3 linked regions of the Styela clava genome follow. The protein of the gene in region 2 purifies or fractionates together with the protein of the main gene of each other region. This does not show direct contact. Links are inferred from orthologs where the notes say so. Each region holds a gene or a part of one and is shown on either strand. Other genes may lie near its edges.

Region 1 (7,829 bases), on a different chromosome or scaffold from region 2:
CTAGTTTGCTTGTGATTTCGGTGTTGAGATTTTCTCGCTCAACGCAGAATAGGTAATAGGACTTTTTTAAATCTGTATTGTTTCACAATAAATCAATAATACATAGCGCATACAGCATACGCTTCCTCCACCATGCACTGCACGTTTCGTTTTACTGTTTGGAATAACAGCTTCATTTTACTAGCGGTGTAGTGTAGTGTAAGTACAACACCCTTATGTTATAATTTTGGTTTTGTTAAGAACAAAATGTGACAGCTGGGCATCTGATTGAACTGCCGCACGCCAGATAGGACCACCTCCATGTTGCGACTCAACTGGTTCATTTTCATTTCTTGGGTCATTGAATAATAAGGCTACATAACATAAGTAATACACAAATTGGCAAAAGGCAAAGACCTAGCCTGTTGTTATATCATGTTGTGTCTGACATTGTTTAAAGTCGGTTTATCATTTGTGTTGCGCAAGTTCAAAATATCGAACACAGTGACTTGGGCAGCATATTTAACCGGTTTATATTAAAAACAGTATTATATAGCGTGGTTCCCAAAAAACAAGACCATCAATTACTCGATTACTTATACGAAAATGGAGTGAATTATTCAATTTTGTCTAAACTTGAACTTCTGTTTCACTCTTCTTTGAGTATTTCTCCATTTTATTTCTGCAATCGCAGCCTTGAGTTTACCAATCGTTTGAGGATTGTTCTGATACAAATTGTCCTTCGAACTCCCTACATATCAAAATCTGAGAGGTTTCAGTCCGATAATTAAGGTGCCTTACTGGATGTCCCCGCTAACTTCTCTCTCAGGATAGCAAGCGTCTGATTTGATGTATGGGGTGTCGCCTCGTCATGCTTGAACCACTGCTGGTCACCTTTATCAATCTATTAAGTAATGTCCAGATTTTTTTCGGCACAAACACGTAATGTTCTGTATTCACCGTTTGGTTGGAAATTTTGCATTGAGTATATACTATTGAGTATAATCATACGCAAACAGAAGTTCAGGCACAAATAAGATTGAATAATTTTTTTGGAGATAGTAAAGAAATTTTTGATTTCCGTTTTCTAGATAACCCTAAAATTTCCTGAAGCGAAAAGAGCGAGTATTTAGGGCAACGACTGCACTTTTACATATCAAGAGAGATAAAGTTGCTTTGACTTTTTTGTTAGGGGGGCGTTTGCTAGTTAAAAAGTCATCCAAGGTGGCAGAAAAAGTTTGGGAAACAGTGTTTTAGATAAAACCACAAAAATTGATGGATCCTTCAAGTTAATTTTCTGAAATTCCACCAACTCTCAGGCAAAAGTATTATCATAATTCTAAAATCATAGATATCATATGATTAAATTCGTCCCGAAATAAAGAAATGCCGATAAAAGTACCTCATGTATGGAACATTTTCAAAATATTCGTTCCTTTGCTGTATTCTTCTCCATCTTAAGAATTCTAAAAATAAATGTCATAAATATATTTGCATACATGAGAGAGTGGTGACCTGCAGTCTAAAAAACTATGACTAATGTTGAAATTTTATTACAAATATACCGGTCTTACTACTTACTGAATACAGCGCGAAACACCGCAAAGAGCGCAAAACAGAGGGAAACAGCGCAAAACAGTGGGGAAACAGCGCGAAAGAGCGCAAAACAGAGGGAAACAGTGTGAAGCGGACAATTTTTTTGCAATGAGTTCGGAGCACCTTGTTTTGAGTTGGAGTACCACGGCAGCAAATTAAAAACACAAACCAACTTATGTAGCCAGTAATGCTGTAATGGCAGGTCTGCCCCTGCTGGTGACACATTTTGGGTACCATAATTTAGAACATTTTCCATATGGATATGGTTGGCTTTAGGGTTAGGGTTAGGTAAAAAGGGACCTCCAGAAGTATGTGCACCAAGGTGGCGCACAACCTGAAAATAGTATGTGTGTGTGTGTGTGTAGCGGATTCAGGTTGTGCGACATATTGCTGCACATACTTCTGGAGCACCAAAAAGGTAGATAAAATTTCGCATGATGACCTATAATCCGGTTCATAGCCTTGTAAATATACCGGAAATAGCGCCATAAAACCATGGCGAGAGGCGCCGTGGTTCTTTCGTGGCAGGAGGTGGTAATGACTGCGTCCCCTGTTTTGCGCTGTTTCCCTCTGTTTTGCGCTGTTTCGCGCTCTTTGCAGTGTTTCGGGCTGTATTCAGTAAGTAGTAAGACCCCAAATATACATCGAAACATGAGGCCAAGAGCCTTTGATATGCATATTATTTTGTGGCTACAATTGCCTGAATTCTCAAGTTGTTAGAGTTAACAGTTATTAGAGGCTTTATTAACAGGCATTTAAGTCAGTAAGTTGTCTATATATCTGTATATTTCTGCATCGGGTTATAAGCCACTCATGATAGGTAATATATGGTGTTCGGGCATTTTTGTTAACACAATAACAAATGGAGCATTTTTATCAACACAGTGAAGCAAACGATACCTAGCATGCACTAAAATTACGTTATAGGTGTGAAATATTCTGTTATTATTCAACATTTACAACCTACAGACCTAGGCAGCATGGTCATCCCAATAATTTAAGGATGGTGAGCTGCCTGTCCAGTGTATATTGCTCAGATAAAAACACCCAACAAATACCATACTTGTAGATACTAAAATTGTCATCATTAAATCAGTAAATGAAATAAAATACCACTGGTACAGCATTACCTGATTATTACTGTATTAACATTTAGTAAATTTATGCTAAACAGACACAGGTAGACTCACCCGTATTAAAGGCATAAATATCGATGGCAGTCCAGTCAGTATCATCATCATCAGTATTGTAATCTTCTCCAGAACAAAATCCACCAAACATATATATATCTTTATTGATAATTACTGCCGAGTGGTTAACTCGTTGAGGTCCACCCTCAATCGAATATGTCCAAAAAGGGTGCATATCATCAGTATCTTTGAATCATTGCTGAATCTGTGAATTGTCAGATCATATACAAGTAGATGTACAAACATGCATGTCATGCATATATCAGTATATTAGATACTTGGCCCTACAGCCACCTAGGTAAAGCTAGCGGACAGTTACCTATTTTTCCGAATTTGAACCCGCCATGTTCCACGAATTGATCGCAAATAAAGTGGACAGTTGTCGCAAATTCACTTAATTGCGGCTACATGGATGCAAAAAATGAGGCGATTCGCCCTTTTAGAAACTAACGACAGAACTGAAACATTTTTTTTCGGTGAAATGAATTATTGCTCAGAAGCTCATTTATCGACAAAATCTAAAATTTAACTGAGTTGAAGCGTAATTTATGCAAGAAATTATTTTTTTTCATTCAATTCATTAATGCAGTGTGTTTGGTGAACAAATATATTAATATACAAAACATATTAAAATTAAAAAAAAATCCACCGTTTGGAAAGTAGGGAAATTCCCCCCAATCGAAGAAAAAAATATAAGAAATCGTCAATTTGACTCAGTTAAAGCGTAATTTAGGTTAGAATGAATTTTTTCTCATCCAATTCATTAATGCAGTGTGTTTGGTGGACAAATATAAAATACATATTAAAATTTTAGAAAAATCCACCCTGCGGAAAGTAGGGAAATTCCCCCCAATTGAAGAAAAAAATATAAGAAATTGTCAATTTAACTCAGTTAAAGCGTAATTTAGGTAAGAAGGAATTTTTTTTCATCCAATTCATTAATGCAGTGTGTTTGGTGGACAAATATACAATACAAATTAAAATTTTAAAAAAATCCACCGTGCGGAAAGTAGGGAAATTCCCCCCAATTAAAGAAAAAAATATAAAAAATCGTCAATTAGACTCAGTTAAAGCGTAATTTAGGTAAAAGGAATTTTTTCTCATTCAATTCATTAATGCAGTGTGTTCGGTGGACAAATATAAAATACATATCAAAGTTTAAAAAAAATCCACCGTGCGGAAAGTAGGGAAATTCCCCCCAATTGAAGAAAAAATATAAGAAATCGTCAATTTTACTCAGTTAAAGCGTAATTTAGGTAAGAAGGAATTTTTTCTCATCCAATTCATTAATGCAGTGGGTTTGGTGAACAAATATACAAAACATATTAAAATTTGAAAAAATCCACCATGCGGAAAATAGGGAAATTCCCCCCAATTGAAGAAAAAAATATGAGAAATCGTCAATTTGACTCAGTTAAAGCGTAATCTAGGTAAGAAGAAATTTTTCCTCATCCAATCCATTAATGCAGTGTGTTCGATGGACAAATATAAATTACATATTAAAATCCATCATGAATTGACCTTCGTCTTCCTCATCTCCAATGTCGGCGAAATTCCAAATTAAAGTCTTCGGTTCCTAATATGAAATTTAAGTACCGGTAATCCCATGTCACCAGTGATGTGATGCTCCGGTAATAACAAACATAGTGGTTTAGGTTTATATGAATGTAACCTTTGCTTATTTTTGTCATCCCAAGGTAATGTACTCCTCCTCTTATCTTTTTTTTCATTTAATTTAAGACACCCAGGGCGTCATAATGTATAAATGGTACTTCCGCCTATAATATCAAAATAATCGAGATGTTTCACAATTATTCAGTCTGATATATGATTTTTGGTGACAATAAGATCTAGAAAAAATCGAGATGATAGAAGTTCAATAATAATAAAGTTTAGTCCATCTGAAAGTTAAATGGAAATTCAACAAAGATTTGAAAATATCTGTAATAATAATATCAATACCATTTCGTTTGATATTTCAATTGAAGAATTGAAGACATCTTCTTGCAGAATATACTTAAGAAGTACGAATTCGCTCTGTAAGGCTAGGTTAAGAGAACTCGAATAGAAAAACATGATCATGTGATGATATATAAACAGCGCCCCCCTCAGTTTTGATTGTACAATCATGCTGCCCAACACGCGCGTGGCAAACACCGACGTTCTCTGATCTATAGCCTGCAAATACTTGAATAATGTTGATGACAGATTAGGTAACATGGAGATTTATCTCGGGAACGGAAAGCCGATAAGGCAGCTTAATCATACGGCGAACCAAAACAAATTAAGGGATATACATATTATTAATGAATTGGATAAGTAAATATTTTTTCTTACCTAACTTACACTTTAACTGAGTTAAATTGACGATTTCGTATATTTTTTCCTTAAATTGGGGGGAATTTCTCTACTTTCCGCACGGTGGAATTTTTTTTTAATTTTAATATGTATTTTATATTTGTCCACCACATACACTGTATCAATGAATTGAATGAGAAAATATTCTTTCCTGCATAAATTACGTTTTAACTGAGTTAAATTGACGATTTCTTAAATATTTTCAACAAATTGGGGGGGATTTCCCAACTTTCCGCATGGTGGAATTTTTTTTAAATTTAATATGTGTTTTATATATCCCCACCAAACACACTGCATTAATGAATTGGATGAGAAAATATTCTTTCCTGCATAAATTACGTTTTAACTGAGTTGAATTGCCGATTTCTTAAAAATTTTCGTTAAATTGTGGGGTATTTCCCAACTTTCCGCATAGTGGAATTTTTTTAAAATTCAATATGTGTTTTATATGTCTCCATCAAAAATAACTGTGTTGATGAATTGGATGAGAAAAAATTCCATCTTACCTAAATTACGCTTTACCTGAGTTAAATTGACGATTTCTTATATTTTTTTCTTTAATTGGGGGGAATTTCCCTACTTTCCGCACGGTGGATTTTTTTAAAATTTTGATATGTATTTTATATTTGTCCACCACATACAGTGTATCAATGAATTGGATGAGAAATATTCTTTCCTGCATAAATTACGCTTTAACTAAGTTAAATAGACGATTTCTTAAATATTTTCATCAAATTGGGGGGAATTTCCCTTACTTTCCGCACGGTGGATTTTTTTTTAAATTTACTATGTGTTTTATATATTTTCACCAAATATACTGTATCAATGAATTGGATCAGAAAAAATTCCTTCTTATCTAAATTACGCTTTAACTGAGTTAAATTGACGATTTCTTATATTTTTTTCTTCAATTGGGGGGAATTTCCCTACTTTCCGCACGGTGGATTTTTTTTAAATTTTGATATGTATTTTATATTTGTCCACCAAACACACTGCATTAATGAATTGAATGAGAAAAAATTCCTTCTTACCTAAATTACGCTTTAACTGAGTTAAATTGACGATTTCTTATATTTTTTCTTTAATTGGGGGGAATTTCCCTACTTTCCGCACGGTGGATTTTTTTTAAATTTCAATATGTATTTTATATTTGTCCACCAAACACACTGTATTAATGAATTGGATGAGAAAATATATTTATTCCTGCATAAATTACGTTTTAACTGAGTTGAATAGACGATTTCTTAAAAATTTTCCTTAAATTGGGGGGTATTTCCCAACTTTCCGCATGGTGGAATTTTTTTTAAATTCAATATGTGTTTTATATATCTCCATCAAATACACTGTATTGATGAATTAGATGAGAAAAAATTATTTCTTGCATAAATTTCGCTTCAACTCAGTTAAATTTTAGATTTTGTAGAGAAATGAGCTTCTGAGCAATAAATCATTTTACCGAGATAAAATGTGTTGTTTTAATCATTTTTATTTTAATATGTTTCAGGTCTGTCGTTAGTTTCTAAAAGGGCGAATCGCCTCATTTTTTGCATCCATGTAGCCGCAATAGACCTTATTCAATAAAAACCCATCCTACGCGCAAAAAAAAAAGTGATGTAAAAAAATATTTTTTAACATTAGCTCTCATGGGGAATGTATTCACCAGAGCAGAAATTTGCATTTTATGTATTTTTCTAGATATCTTTCATTGTATACGTGAGCAGTTTTGAGGATAGAATATTTTTTACGTCTTTTTTGATATTCTTATTATGATAAACATGGTCAAGATTTTTAATAATCGCTCATTGAAATTTTAATGAGCGCGGTTTTTCCGAAGACGTCATTCTCACTAGACCATGAGATTCTGCCAACGCGCCGTGCTCTGTGGGATATGTGCTCCAACTGCATGTGATAACAGATACTGGAATACCGGTACCGGGACCACAACTGGCGTTCAACGAAAGACCTATTTTGGTTTTAATTGGATGTTATATATTTCATGAATTCCATGTACATTTCTGGTACACCTTTCAAAATCCAATGGCCTAACTCAGTTCATATGTTGACGGTACCTACCATGTATGGTACCTATCCCAAAATTGGTGATGTTCAGGGCTGGATTTAGACCATGAGAGGCCCCTTCATATTTTTGAGCTCAGAATTTCTCTCTAAACAAAACCACATTTAATTGCTTAAAATTTAAAAATATGAAAGCATTAAACTTTTCATTCTCCCCATTCATGGGTGTGAATTTTTGATTAAAAGAATGATAATTTACTTGAGGCAGTTTTGCTTTCAATTTTTTGTCATACTTTAACATAGAAACTTCCAGCAGAATGCGCATAATAATAATTTCCCTTATTATGATGCAAACGACGCAATAATGGCTGTTTACAATGTGGTTGAAACTTGTTGTACACAGAATTTTCTACTCTGAAAAGCTTGATATATATATATACTTTTTGTAGGGTTTAAACTTGTCAAGTTTTCAAAAGAATTACAAAGTTTGAAACCGAATTTCGAGGCTCTAGGTTTCAGCCTGCCTAGCCTATTGGTAAATCCAGCACTGGCGATGGTCCCTACAGCAAATTTCGGGCCCTAATCACTCAGCAGATTGAAATAAATGGTTTTCAGCATTTATTAGCAAAGATAGATATTTTAATTAAACTTATAGTTCAACTTAAAGCCTGTATAATGATATTATAAATA
Region 2 (7,810 bases):
TTCCAATTCATTTATAGTTTATCACGTATTTTATGTTATTTTAGAATAGTAATTTTTTATTTAAGTAATCCTCATAGTAATCTTGAATCAAACATGAGTAACGATGAACACAATTAAATTATTATGACAGGACATTTTAAATGCTCGCATCAGTCATGGATTGAATATTTCACGCAACAGAAATCTCGTTATCCACTGAAAAAGTTTTTTTCTTAAGCGCGAAGAATGTTGCGCGAACAATTCCGATTCCAACTTTGATCCCCCCTCCCTCTTAAGAATCCTGGCTGCGCACGTGCTTATAAATATTGTCATTTTTGAATTCCGCCTCTTTGCCATATTTCGAGGCTATACTGTTGTCAAATTTTATCAAAGCTGTTATTGCTTCTTTGAAAAGTCACAAAATTAGCCAAGTCAGTCCTTTGAAAAGTAATCAAATAGCTCGCGGAGCCCCTAGGCTTCTCTCTCGGAGCCCTGGGGCTCCGTACGGAGCACTTTGAGAACCTATGCCATAGGCGATGCTTAGACAGGGGCGCAAAAACAGCGAAAAGTTCTGATCGTATAGGTTTCAATAAATTATTTCAAATTGGAGACAACTAAATCTCGCATTTATACTTGAATAATAACGCACAGGTATAGCATTTCAATAACAGTCATTATAAATCGTTAACCAACTATCAAGGGGGCGCATTTTTCAACTTTGCCATGGGCGCAATTTTACGTAGATACGCCACTGACCGAATGGGCATCGTTTGGGTATGGCACTCGATATGTACGATACCGTCATGCTCAACATGACACTCCTTCAGGGATTTCCAACCAGCGGCCCGGGGCCCTCAAGAGGGCCATAGAGCAGTTGAAGGAGGCCACAATGCTAGGTTCATAACTTATTTTACCATTCACTTTACAACAGGGGTCTCAGACTCAATTTACTTGAGGGCCGCCGAGACGGAGCCTCAGTGAGTCCGGGGCCGCATCAGTTTTTTCACAATAAAAGCATTAAACTTAAAAAGTTAAATCTTTTCCTCTGTTTTTCTATACGCAAACATGTCAAAAACATAAATGTAAGTAATTCCGCGATGGACCTTTCCCCAAGCATCTACTTCCTTGTTTATTCCGTAACATTGGCTAATCAGCAAGACGCAAAAGCGACGTAACAATAAACAATAGACGCTCAGACACTTTCAGGCATGTTTGAAACATTACCTCGTTTTTGCATGCTATTTGTTAGTTTTGGCTTGTGTTTCAGAAATTCAAGTATGAATCAAAGAACTCAATGATCATTCTGATTGCTTGGGCGTCGTAGCTTAATTGCCGTAATCAAAAATAGGTCTAGAAATAACTGTGATAGACTAGGCTAAACTTCTCTACCGGTACTGTTAAAAAACAAGTTGTTGAATGTTTTGAATCAAAATGATGACGTGAAACATACCCCAGTTTATAGGCTTCAACTCGCAAAGCCACCTCTAAAATAAGCACCAAGAATTAGCAATGGTAAAGTATAAGAAAAATCTTCTTTGGGGTCAAAGGTCCATCGAATACCCTAGTGTACTAGTAGATTACCGTGCCGCATATTCCTTTCGGGGGATAGATTATAAAATATTTTGTTTTGCTCTACTTGTCTTGATCATATATTAAATGCATCAATCATTCTAACTGAGGTGAGTGACTTACGGGCCGCACTAACATCAAACTTTCATACCAAGGCGGGGGCCGCAAATTATCGTCCTGCGGGCCGCAATTGGCCCACGGGCCGCGAGTTTGAGACCCCTGCTTTACAATAAAACCACCCGTTCTTCCTAGTTTCATTGCTTGATAAAGTTATTTCACAGGATGTACTCACTTTGTTGAATTGTTTGAGCATAAGTAGATTTGGAATCTACCAATCAAAATATTGCTAAAAATACCATTGGAATAATAAATAAGGGGGCCATGAGTGCTGAAAGCCTCTAGAAGAGAGTCACGAGCCATAAAAGATTGGGAACCACGCTACTAAATATTAAACTCATAGACAAGAAAGTGTTTGTGCTGCATCAAACAATATAGAAATCGACAAATTTTACCTGTTGTGCCTGGAGTCTTATCATCCAAGAACATGGCGACTGCAGTTTCAAGATTGTCCGAGCAAGCATCGAGAAAATGTTTCGCTGTTCCTTTGTCTGTGCCTGTAAAAAAAGAAAATTTTGAGCGCTAATAGTTAGTACAGACAGTGAAGCTAACCATGTTAGCATGGCCCATATCCACCAGTTGACCCAAGCAGTAGAACGCCACCAGGCATCAAATCGTACCAAGCTTGTCTCGGTAATAATTTAAATCAATCGCAAAGTGCGCTGGCCGTCACATGACCAAATTGCGATTTTTGTTGAAAACTACTACTGTAAAATTTTAATTCCTTCTGTAAATTTTATTATTTTTTTTCTCCGAGAAATCCATTCTGTCAATGGCAGGATGGCGACGTTTTTAGATTGCACCTCCTTTCAGTTTATTGCGCAATGCCGACTTGTCGTTTTTAGTCGATATACTGATATAATGGCTCGTTAAATAGGTAGAGGTTCGCACTCACTGTCATAATTGATATATTTTAATGTGGGGGCTATTCTTGAAATCAGAGCACATAGTTAGTGCTGCAGTATGTTCGCCTGTCTTCTTCCATTCTTCTTACAGTGTTATCGGCTATTCCCATCAAAATAAATACGATAACGTTATGTAAAAATGTGCCTAGTCGGCCCAAAGAAGAATACCAAATACAACCGTACCTGTAATGCTCACAAATTCTTTGATTAATTTTTCTCTAGATCCCATATTGCAGTATTGCAAGATTGAGAAGAGACAGCTGTTTTTTAAATCGAAACCGTTGCTTCAATATGTAGCCTAAGTATTCAGTAAATTTCCACTTTCTGTGCTCTTGAAAATCGTTCATATATTTTATTATTCAATGTCTCTCTTCCGTGACTTATGTTACATAACTCTTTATATAACGCTCAGAAAAAACGAAGAAAACCCGCAAAAAATTACAAAACTACGGAGGGATTTTCTCCAAATTATGTAAGGTGGTTCCAGTCTAATAAGCCGGTAATCAAAACATCCGTTAGGTGTCGGTAGAGTTTTCATTTCTACAATCAAAGTCGACACCTTTCCTCGAGCATCGACTTCCTTGTTTACTTCGTGACATTGGCCAATCAGTAAAATGCAAAAAGTGAAGTAACAATGCCTTCTTTTCGCATCCACTCAGACACTTTTTTCACTCAGACAGATTTTCAAGCGAGGTTGTGAACATTACATCGTTTTCGCTTTTTTGAACTTTATTCATTAGTTTTTAGTTGTGTTTTGGAAACTTAAATATAAATCAGATAATTCAATGATCACTCTGTCTTTCTAGGAGTTTTAATTTAATTGCTGTAAGAAAAATTAGTGTAGATATAGCTGTGATAGATTAGCCTGAAATTCTTTACCGGTACCTTTAAAAAACAGATTGTTGTATGCAATAAATCACAATGATGGTTTGAAACATATACCCCATTTTACAGACGCCAACTTGCAAAAGCACTCTTAAAATAGCCCCGATAATTTTGTAATGGTAAAGTATGGGAAGAATTTTCCAGGGGTTAAAGGTCGGGGAAAGGACCATTGCATTAAAATCAAGAAATAAATTAATTCTAATTGATTCATCATTGTTTTTTCGGACACTATGCAAGACTGATAAAATCACAGATGCTCTGGCCCATACATGACGAAAATAAATATCGGAATCCATACGACACGACGCCTAGCGCATCGTGCTGAGTGTTAAGAACGCGCTCGCAAACAACCATGGAACGACTCTTTTTCTAACCGCCCTATGATGATGAGAAAATGGAACAACACTTTCACTAACCACCCTATGATGATGATGAGGAGTCCAACTATCCTCTCACGCATAATTGGTCCTCACAGGATTCAAACACACGCCGGGTAATTAAAGGCGCGATGATATCTTCTCATCTCTCTCTTGGCCCGATGCGCCAATCACTGAGCTTATAATCCGGAATAAATCACCAGTCTTTTCAATATATCCTACTTTCTACATTCATGAAATAATCACTCATAACAAATTATCAGATCACCCAGACAGGTATGCAAGATTACAGACATTTGCCGTTTTCGGGTCAGGAAATCATCCATACAATTTGGAAGCTATAAGAGCACCATGTTAATAACCGTATAGATGGGTCTTCCCCCTAACTAACTATTGGCAACCATAATAAGAATCTACCAAGTACTAAAATCCGTTCGCTGAAATTTTGGCGCTCCCGAAGTATGTGCACCAAGATGGCGCACAACCTGAACTCTAACCCAATACACATACTATGTTCAGGCTGTGCGCCATCTTGGTGCACATACTTCGGGAGCTCCGAAATTTTATCCTCTGAGCTGGATCTAAATACCTTCACCTGACTAACAGAAAAACAAAAACTGGCATCCATAAATAAAGATATTTATCTCAAAATAGAAAAATATAGAAGCCAGTAAATAGGTTTTTGAAATCATAGCAACAAAAGCATAATAAATCTTCAAGTTCAAAAACATGGAAGCAGCTTAAATAGACAAAAAGTAACTTCAGAACCTCTCTCAGTCTCTTCACACATTTCCTCCCAAAAATTACTAACAGAAATTATGGAAAAATATTTTTTCGTAAAGCGTTCTTATGAATGAATGGATAGAAGAGGTGATAAACCAATGCCTGAAGTGAGCATTACCAAATGCACGCTGTGATATATTGAGATATTAAGTATTGCAGTATTATAGAACATTTAAAGTTTTTGTGCGCATTAAAAGTTGAGCCTCCCATATTGGAAACCTACTGTAATACCAAGGGCTACCAACACTTAGTTGTGTTGGCATGATTCCCAATCTTAGGCAAAATCCCATGAAGGGATGTATTATAGGGTGTCCATGAGTTCCTAAAAAATTTTTAAATCCTAAAGGGAGTTTATCGATACCATATATTGTTTTGGCCCTCACAGATGTATTAAATGAAGTAAAAATACCTAAACAACTACTAATTTAAAAAACAACAAACCTGGTTAATTAAGATATTTTGAGAACTGACATTATACCAACATTGTGATGAGACTTTATGGACACCCTGTACATTAGGTATGCCAGCGAAGTCATTTTCTTATTTTTCAATATTTTTTATATTTATATTGTGAAAACGAATTTGTCAGGAGCGCCGATGACCTTTGAAGGTCAAGCAAGCTCAAGCAGCCACTAAAATCTGATAAATTTTGAGAATTTACTAATTTCAATATTGTTTTATACTATTTTTCAATGTTGAAAGTGCTTGTGGAAACAACATCTCTCTCTCTCTCTCTCTCAATTTAAACCGGAGCTAGGTATTTGTTCACTGTGGCTGCCATCGCCTCTTTCATATTTTCAATGTGTTTATCAATTCTTGATTCCAATTCTTTGGATCGCAGTTCTTCATCTTTCAGGAAATCCTAGAAGAGCAATTAAGGTAAAAGCTGATTAAAACTATTAACTATAAATATTACGAGGAGAAAGTCTCGTGCGGTTAGGCCCGTAACAGCTTCCTCCGTCAAGTCCATAGATCTGAAACAAACATCTATCCGACACGGATTGGTAATGGCCCTAATGGGACGAGGGGCTTTGGTTGACCATCGCATAGGATTCCCTTTCCCCCAAATCAAATTTGAAAAATCCTATACTCCTAAACAATGTTCCCTCTAATTTTTTGTAGTATGTGTGCGCAGAAATTTTAGTGTGCGCACTTTTTTGGAAATGACTAATATTTGTGCAAAAACCAATGAAGAAATTTTGGCGTTCTAACCGGGTAATAAGTGGGCCAACAACAAACTTTCTCAACCTGCCAACCGAGCACATTGTTACATTACATCGAAATATGCCTGTGCGCAGTAAATCTATGCGTGTGCGCAGCCTCTGAAAGCTGTGTGCGCGCGCACACCTTAGAGGGAACACTGCTCCTAAAATTCTGTTTCTTATGAACAACAATTGGTTGCTATCAAATCTTTCATGAGCTATCTATTTCCAATATAAGGTTTATCAAAGCAAGATTGTTTGAAAAAAATACCTGTAAACCGTCATTTTTGGACATTTTATTATTGTTGCCAATATCTTCTTGCTGTAGACCAAGTATCGCATTCAATTCTCTTTCATCAATACTATCGTCCATATGAGTTGAAAAAATTGAATTATTCGGCGACGTTTCGGTTACTGTAGAAGGAGCAATTCCAATTGATTTTAAGAATTGTCGTGTAGGGGTCGGAGTTCGTGACCTCAGTGACCCTACTTCTTCCAAGAAGTCTTTCACAGCTTCACTGTTGCTAGATTTTGAAGATGAAACTGATGGTGGAACGACTGTGCTAGGTTGACTTGTGCCGTTAGATGTTGCAGAAATCTTGATTTGAAGACTGGGTATCTAAAAAGATGAATAAAATGGTTTTAGACTTGATATGAGCAAACTACGGCCCACGGGTCAAATCTGTCCTGTTGAGTAATTCAGTTTGGCCTGCCCGATGCTTTAGGAATTTGTTGAGATTGCTATTAAATTGTTTTGGCACGGGGCTTATCGTTTTACACGTTTGCTGTTGTAACTCTGTAAATATTGTTCATAAAATGTAAAATTTTTTACGTCACACTTACACGGCCTGCCAGTCTAGGTGGGCAAAATAATTTTGGCCCCTGGCCCAAACACCTTGCCCACCCATTTTAGACAAAAACTGAATTCATAGGGTCATTTGCTAAATTGTTGTCATTGCGACAAACATTTGGGGCTTTTCCCGTAACCACCGATCATTTCAAAATTTTTAGTAGATAAAAACTACTGCCACTACTGAATTATCGCGAACCTCTGACAAATAAACTTGGATCTGTAAACACAAAGACCGGTAGCACTATAAATGCCGTTTAGCGAATACATACAGTATAAAAAATAAAGAGAAAACGTTGCTGGCATAATTTAGACTTAGAAGTTAACTGTTGCAATAAATCAAAGCTGCTCACGTACCACTTGAAAAGTTCCCGTAGGGGCCACAGGTTGAGAACCACTGCCACAGGGCTCAGAGCGAAAGGAGTGGCATAAATAATCTATACGTGCTAAGATTGAGATTCTGTTCTGTTGCCACTCTTAACCAATATACTTACATTATCATCAGCAGGGTCACTCAGAACTCCATCAGTTACCACAGAATGATTCTTGCCAGAAGTTTTTGATGACATCTCTTGCAGCCTGTAAAAGAGAGAACTTCATTAAAACAAGATAGAAAGAGAAGAGATAGAATAGAAGCACATTCACTTTGAACTAGGCTCTGTACAAGCAACCACTGATCCGCAGAGATGTGCAGTTGGAATTTGGCATGTTTTAATTGTCTAAGTTGTATTTTGGAATTATCTGTGACAGGAGCCGGAATTTCATCCTTTTTATTTAAAGTTAATATTTCTGGCGGAAATCAGAAAGCATTATTTGTTTTATTTGCTTTTTTAACTGACAACAACAAGGTCGTCCCAAGGGTGGAAATCTTATTTTTAAAAGACTTGGCATAGGAGATTGGCAAAATCTGATTCTATTGCAAAGTTTGTGAATTTATATCAAATTTTCAAACATAGAATGTAAAGTCTCAATCATCCGTTCATATCTTCGTAGAATTTCTTGATTCAAACGGAAAGATTTGGTTCTTTCGAGAAATAGTACCACTTCACATATCATTACGTATGAGCAGATGCTTGTTTGGGTCAAAATTCTTGAATAAGAGTCATAAAACAAATATTTTAGAATATCAAATTTTCCTAACCT
Region 3 (7,596 bases), on a different chromosome or scaffold from region 2:
ATAAATGGGCTTCGTTGCTGTCAGTCGTGCTTCATAAACAAAATCATAGCGAAGTATAAAATATCAGTAAAATATGTACAAGTCTGGCCAGAATAACCCCATATCAACAAAATGGCTTCAACGCTGTCAGTCATGCTCCATAAATTAAGGTTCGATAGTAAGCGCATTAAACGCATAGCACGATGTTGTCATTACCGAGTGAACAAACATAACAGAAGGCAACAATACCTTTAGATCTATCCTCAGCAACCAAGTCTGAAATGATCCAACCAACTTTCTGAAGCCCAAGTGCTTTCGCTACTTTCTCCACAATCTCTTGATGAGGGTCGGGCAGGATCTTCAGCGAGTTAGCCGAGCTTTCCTGTGGTGGCTCATATATTGCACAAACCTCTGCACGAATGCCGAGTGGTACTTCCTAAAATAATAAGAATAGTTCAGAAAAAACAAAACTTGAAAAAAAAAGCTGTTCTGGGAAAATGGGGAATTTTAATTTTTAATAAACTCTTCCAACTTTTAATAAAAATACTTTGTCGTGAACAACACTTAAACTTTGACTAGAAAACCACTTTATAAACCAATTTTTATAATTTTTTTAAAAGTTCCCAAATTCACCCTCTGTCCTGAAAGCCTCAAATTGTATTGTAAAGAATAATCATGATCTGAATAACCCGAAGAAGCAAAACTTGCAAAAGCTCTTTCACACTTCCTGAATAATATGTATATCACTGTCAAAAGCACTCTCAACAATGCATAGTATATTGCAAAGCAAAATTATTATTCAAAGACGAGACTTGAAAAAAAAATGTTTTTTTTAAATTTTTCAATCTTTCTTATTTGCATTATATCAAGTATTCCCATCAGGCTATAAAAGGGCAACATCTAGTTTTGCCATTCTGTCAGTGCCTTTGTGACATGACAAGATTTTGCTCTTGTTCGAGTAAGAGAGGTCGCCAAAATATATCGTGGAAATCAAACTTTCCAGAGCAGTTTTGATTCTTTCATCTTGGATTTTATTTTCCCCTTAATTAGAAAAACCAATTCAGTTTGGAACTTGTATAAACACTTTTGTATATCGTTTATCCTCGCATATGAGCCGAGTTCAAAACTTGACAAAAATGTTGTCAAATTAATGTGTCAGCTGATACGCTCTTACAACTCTGGGATTGGAAAGATGGAGAAGGTGATAGTGGGGATAAATTTTTAGGGATTTTGAGACACTTCTTGCTGTTATTAATAAAAGTTAAACAACAATAATGGTGATTATTTTCATTAATGCTCTTCTGCAACCATTTGATGTGACAGGTGAGTACAGTGAGTTACAATTTGTAGGATTTGCTTATATGCAAATTTTTATGAATTCAACGTTTTAGGTTCGTTTTAAGGGAGTTGGCTGATATGCAAGATCAGCTTATAATATGCGAATTATATATATACGGTAACGAGTATATATTTCTTCATCTTATACCTTATGTTGAGTATATCTTCCATACATGAATCCCATTCTCTGGTTTCCACTATTCCTCCAATAATTCAGGAATCTATCAGCGACTTCTCGATTTTCAAACATAATATTATCAACATGACGAAATTTTTGTTGATTCAGAGTGATTGCCGTTGGAAGGTCGAGGAGAGATCTAAAGAATGAATTCAAAATTGAGATTAGTCTGAAACACAGGTTCTCAACCAATGGAACATGCATGGCCCACTGTTGGACCAAAGACCTATTAAAAATTAGTAGTAATTTATTTGTGTCCCTATAGTTAATTTTGATTGTAGCAGCAATGAATGACAATGCTGTTTTCTGCTACTGAGTGGTAATTTTCATTCTAATTATTAATGTGAAAGTGTCCATTCTTGTGGGAAGATTTAGTATTTCTTGTAGTTTTTCCTTTGCATAAAGAAGTTTTTGGGCCACAGGATTATTGTTAAACAAAAACGGGCCATGATTGAAAATTGTTGAGAACTACTGCTCTAGAATAAATCTAAATGAAATTATTGTTTCAAGAGGCAGCCGTTGTTTACATAAATTTTTTCCGCTAGAATAAACAAACTTGTACATTGCTTTAATTTTGTCAGTAGTTGTATTTAGCTGTTCATTCAATACTTTTCAGAGCAATTTGTCTGCGATGTATTCTCGATATGATACAGACAAATTAATTCAAATATTCTCTCCAAATAAATTTTAAGCAATTTCTATGTCAGTATCAATTTCGAAAATAAACTTTTTCCAAATTGACAATTCTACAAATGGCAGTATCTATAAACTATTTTAAAACTTCAAAATTTGTTACACGAAACGTATTTAACTTAAAATCGTTTAGAATATTCATTTTAGATTTCTCTCGTCACAGATTTGATACGCATACTAATTGGAAGTAACAACCTTAATCAGAGATATAAATCAAAAAATCTCAAACCTTTTTTCTTCGCTAATCCCTTCTAGTTTGCAAGCAGTTCTGGTACTTTCCAGTTTAAAGTATTTCCCTTTGTCCACACCAGAAGTCTGTTGGCGCATGTACGCATGAAACGATAAAAACTTAATATCCTTTGATTTAAGATATGACTCATCCCATGAGTTTATCGGTAGATCATCAATCTTAAACATTCCACCTCTGACAGAACTCTTTTCATTTTGCGGAATCCTACCATCTTGTTTCCATAATTCTACGTCAATTTCGTCCTCTGTAAATTTCACTATGGGCGGGGCTTCGTTTTCAACCACGCCTCCATCTCCAGCTACGTTCATTCCGTCAGTGAAGATAAGATAACACATATCTCCATGTTTCAGTTTTTTGTTACTCAATTTTGACCGTGACCCCTTTTTAAGTTCATTTGTTCGGTCACGATTTTGAAACAAACACCAATTTTCATTTGCAAGAGCAAATTCCTCCGCGACCTTCCCAAGAAATGATGTAACCGTCTCCGAAGATGTTACCTCAACCCGTTTTGTACCATCCTTTGACTGGATTCTAATTATCATTATGGTTTAATTATTTTAATACTATATCTGTAAATTAGCTGCATGGTTAGAAAATTGCATATAAAGCGTAATTACAAGTGGTAAGGGCCTACGAGGTTTGCATAAGCAATATCAACAAATAGAATGTTTCCATAGATCAGTGATTTTGAACCTTTTTGCAGAAACTGGCGAACTTCCAGAGGCTTGAAAAATCCCTGTGCAATAGCTACGGTAAATTGTCTTTTATTGTCAGAACTGTATAGACTATAAATTTGCTTTTGTAAACTTGGTACTGGCAAAGCATAATCTTGAAAGGGTAGCATATTTTCAAAATAGTGGCCAATATTCAAACGAGAATATCGGTCGGAGACCCACCACTTATTGATCGAAAGTTAGGGGATCCCCCAAAACAGAAACTGCGGTTTCGATACCTTCACTATGACTCAATAGTGACACCGCGTGTCCCATCACTAATCAATAACTCGCTAATTATACGATATAATTCATCCTAAATCAATAGGCTTCTGGTTCGAGATATGATGAATGCACATGCAAAATTTGGAGCAGATTCAACCTCGCTTTCGTGAGATATCACGTAACATACGAAAGTGTCTGACAGACAAACAAACAGACAAATACCTATCAACATACTACTGATCAAGATCGATAAGGAATAATTTGCATAAACTTTCTGATTTTAGTAGAAACTTGCGGAACCGCCAGACTGTCTGTATTGGTGGAACTGTAGGGTGTAGCAGGAAAATGTTTGAAAACCACTGTCATAGTATATTATGCGTATGCCTCTCAGGTGAAGCGCAAATACTAAACAGAATTGATAAAAAAAAAATGGAAAACGAGTCTTCTTTGGTATAATTTAGGCCTATTACAGAGTGAGAAGTTTGGACAGAATATTCTTATTCGAAATAAAAGGTTTCATTGCTGCCAGTCATGCTTCATAAATTAAATCATATCAAAGCAGAGTTTATGTAAAAACATCACAGAGAAGAGAAATATTTTAAATATAAGTCTAGCCAGAATTTTCTCATACTAATAAGAGGGTTTCGTTGCTGCCAGTCATGCTTCACAAACTGAATCATACCAAAGCAAGGTCGGCTCACTTAATTAAGTGATTGGGATATTTTAATACTAACGAAAGCGTTTCATTGCCAGTCATGCTACACAAATATTTTTAAGGCAGTAGACTACTCTACTACTTGCATACACAAAAGGATAGTCAGTAAGTGGCATTGTGTGAATCTTTATAGGCTATGTATATAATATATTGGTATTCAACATCCACCATAAATTTTCTTTTCCTACAATGGGCAAATCATTGGTTACCGATAGCCTAATGAACAAACAGTTAATTATATTTTTCTTAAAAATAAAACAATTGTGCAAAATATAAGAAATCATCAAAAAAAAAATAGGATAGGATTTACATATTTATCCTGGGGGAGAGGAAAGCCGATAAGACGGCTTATCCATATGGCGAACCACGGCCTCTCGTCCGGTTACCATTCCAAGTCGGGTATGGGATTAGTTATATTGTTTGTTTTCGGAAGTATGGACTTGGTGGTGGAGGAAGCTGTAACCGACTAGCGGTTACGTGAACCACCCATTGACGGCGAGGAGGCACATAACCGTCCCTGCAAACCCACGCGAAATAATTAGAGATGCGGTGGCGAGCGTATTCCTAACGCTTAGCCCGTTGAGCCTCACCGCCGCGCCAAAAAAGCACCAGTGGTAGAAGGACATCTCACAAGGCTATGGGACTGGAGTAGAGAGTATCGACATAACAGCGAAAGGATTGCTAGACTTTTCAATGCTGTACAGTAATTCACAAAACTGCTGGTCGGTTACGGCTTTCTTCGCCATCAAGTCCATGCATCTGAAACAAATAACTGGGTGACTAATCCCATACAGAGCCAGGCAGTCCCGATAAAACATAACAGGAGATTCTCTTACTAACTAGGCTATACAAATGAATTCTAATCCATGAAGTTAAATCAACCATAATAGCAGTATCCAGAAATCAAGATGTAATATATGTACAGTCATCATTCAAAAAAGAGCAATATTACCACAAACACTTCCCACCTAGAAAATAAGAGTGTTCCCATTACAAGCAATTCTAACCTCACTCACACAAACATGGAAACATAGGAAAAATTCAAATGTCAAAAATTTAATCAAGCTGAATTTTTTAAAGGTACTTATGAGTCTTGTTAAAAACCACATACACTTCCCACCTGGAAAATAAGAGTGTTCACCTTGCGAGCAATTCTAACCATGCTCACACAAACATGAAGACATGGTCAGAAATTTGAATGCCGAGATTTTAATCCATCTGCAATTTGTGACTACTCCTATAAAACCACAAACACTTCCCATCCCAGAAAATATGAGTGTTCCTGTTACTAGCAATTCTAACCACGCTTACACAAGCATGTAAACATGGGCATAAACTTGAATGTCGGTAATTTAATCCAGCTGCATTTTATGAATAATTGTAAGTCTCATTTGTGACCAAGAACATTTTCCACACAGAAAAAAAGAGTGTTCCCATTGTGAGAAAGTTAACCAAGATCCACTTTTCCAATATTATCCAAGTTTCCTTGGTTGAATATATATCATGGAGGAAAAAATCAGGGATTGAAATGAAGGAATTGTAGGTAGGAAAAATACAATGATTTCAAGAACTGGAAATTCAGAAAGTTCACACAGTTTTATTATCACGATATATGAAGTTTGATATAAAAAAATTGCAGAATCATTAAAAACATATAAGATTTTTATTATTTATCTCAGGAGAAAAAAGTCAATAACGAACATAATTATAAGGCAGATATAGAATCTCATGAGGGAAATAGCTGATCAGATAGTCATTCCAGATTCATGGACATGAAAATATAAACGAGCAAAATAAATTTTTATTGTTGGATTGATTTAGAATTGAAATTTGAAAAGTCTAAATGGATTTCGATATAAAAACAATTGCATAATTGGAAAAAACAGTTTTCACTGAACTTTTCATATTTGCACTGGGAAAACAAGAAAATGGATAAAGCGGTTCAACAAGACATAAAAATTGTCCATTTAATATAACTGAAATAAGATATGAAACAAAATATCTAAGAAACAGAAATCTATACGCAATGGTCCCATGGTTATATCGCCATGTGAAAACAAATTAAAAAGGGGAAAGGTGTTGCTGATGATTTGCTATAGGCTCGGCGGTGTGGCGCATCGTGCTAAGCGTTAGGAATACGCTCGCCACCTCATCTCTGATTACCCTTCATGGGTTCGCAGGTTCAAATCTCATGTGGGGATGATCATGTGCGAGAGGATTGCTGGACTCCTCTCCGCCGTAGGGTGGTTCACTTAACCGCTGGTCGGTTACGGCTTCCACCACCATCAAGTCCATGCTTCCAAAAATAAATAACTGGCTAACTAATCCCATACCAGACCTGGACTGGTAACCGGACCAGAGGCCGTGGTTCGCTGCCATATAATTAAGCTGTCTTATCGGCTTTCCTCTCCTCCGGAATAAATATGTAAATCCTATCCTATATCAACTTGATCAAAAAATCATACGAAATTCAATATAACCCCTGAAAAATGAAACCCAGATCCTATGGAACATATACTAGAAAAAATTTTTTTGCAAAGCATTTAGATTTACTAAAACTTTTGGGTATAAAAAAAATTCTGTGTTGAATAACTTTTAATTTCTCACTACACCAGTGGTCACTTGAAAACATTCCACTAAAAATAATCAATTATAATCATATAGGGTCAAAAATGCATTCGCATCTTCGATATTCTTTTCAAATCCCAGACATCATATTTAGCTCAATAATTTGAACATGAATAATCACAGCATAATCTTTAAATAGAACAGTCTTTAACATAATAAGCATATTTAGTTAACTAGAAATTTAAACATTGGCTAAAAAATAGGATCAGAAGTTAACTTAATCAATTTAAATTGAATATAAAAAAGATGAATCCACCTTGAAAGAACAAACAGAAATGGGATTTGAACAAGATGAAATATCATCAAACTGACCAATGCCTCCACTAACATAATTAGGAAAGTCACTTAATACAGTTCCCCATGAATCCCCTACATCATCATAGATATACAACTTTCCTGAAACCAACAACACGAGTCTATTGTCAGCAATGAAACTGAAACTTTTGGAACTGATTGCTGTTGGCAGATTAAGTGTTTTCCATTTTTCACCATCGAAGCGTTGCATTTTATTGAGGAACGGTGAATTATTATTTACCAAGCCTACAACATAAATTTTTTCATTAGAATATGCCACAGAAGTATTCACAGAAGCTTCGGAAACTTTTTTCACGTTTCCCCAACTGTTATTCAATATACTGAAAAGTTTGTACTCGCTAACAATGTTGATTGCGATAAATTGTTTGTTTGATACTCCTGCAAAAAAGGGTTCTTCCAATTCACAACCAGGTAATGTTTCATCCCACTCATTTGTGATCGGATCATAAATAGAAAGCCTGTCCTTTTCAACAACATAGATAAGTTTATTAGTTGCCACAATTCTTGCTTTTTCATCAGGCAAATGCTGCATAGCTTCCCTTTTTATCCATTTCAACCGGTT

What was found.
Region 1: the proteins of UBX domain-containing protein 7-like (region 2) and kelch domain-containing protein 3-like purify together in Homo sapiens (affinity purification with mass spectrometry; 3 studies listed by BioGRID and IntAct, with this or other methods). This does not show direct contact. The link is inferred for Styela clava from reciprocal best matches to the Homo sapiens genes UBXN7 and KLHDC3.
Region 3: the proteins of UBX domain-containing protein 7-like (region 2) and nuclear protein localization protein 4 homolog purify together in Homo sapiens (affinity purification with mass spectrometry; 3 studies listed by BioGRID and IntAct, with this or other methods). This does not show direct contact. The link is inferred for Styela clava from reciprocal best matches to the Homo sapiens genes UBXN7 and NPLOC4.

Annotation. Positions count from the first base shown.
Region 1 is NC_135255.1:9,937,133-9,944,961, forward strand, and holds the start of kelch domain-containing protein 3-like, read right to left. Parts: upstream 3,074-7,829; 5' UTR 2,941-3,073; coding exon 2,766-2,940; intron 1,446-2,765; coding exon 1,382-1,445; intron 1-1,381. UniProt on the Homo sapiens protein: Substrate-recognition component of a Cul2-RING (CRL2) E3 ubiquitin-protein ligase complex of the DesCEND (destruction via C-end degrons) pathway, which recognizes a C-degron located at the extreme C terminus of target proteins, leading to their ubiquitination and degradation.
Region 2 is NC_135258.1:3,868,952-3,876,761, reverse strand, and holds the start of UBX domain-containing protein 7-like, read right to left. Parts: upstream 3,067-7,810; 5' UTR 2,800-3,066; coding exon 2,754-2,799; intron 2,163-2,753; coding exon 2,061-2,162; intron 1-2,060. Other genes in the region: centrosomal protein of 63 kDa-like, read right to left, coding at 5,358-5,477, 6,089-6,436, 7,162-7,246, 7,809-7,810. UniProt on the Homo sapiens protein: Ubiquitin-binding adapter that links a subset of NEDD8-associated cullin ring ligases (CRLs) to the segregase VCP/p97, to regulate turnover of their ubiquitination substrates.
Region 3 is NC_135262.1:3,005,491-3,013,086, reverse strand, and holds the start of nuclear protein localization protein 4 homolog, read right to left. Parts: upstream 3,032-7,596; 5' UTR 2,981-3,031; coding exon 2,418-2,980; intron 1,635-2,417; coding exon 1,466-1,634; intron 416-1,465; coding exon 229-415; intron 1-228. UniProt on the Homo sapiens protein: The ternary complex containing UFD1, VCP and NPLOC4 binds ubiquitinated proteins and is necessary for the export of misfolded proteins from the ER to the cytoplasm, where they are degraded by the proteasome.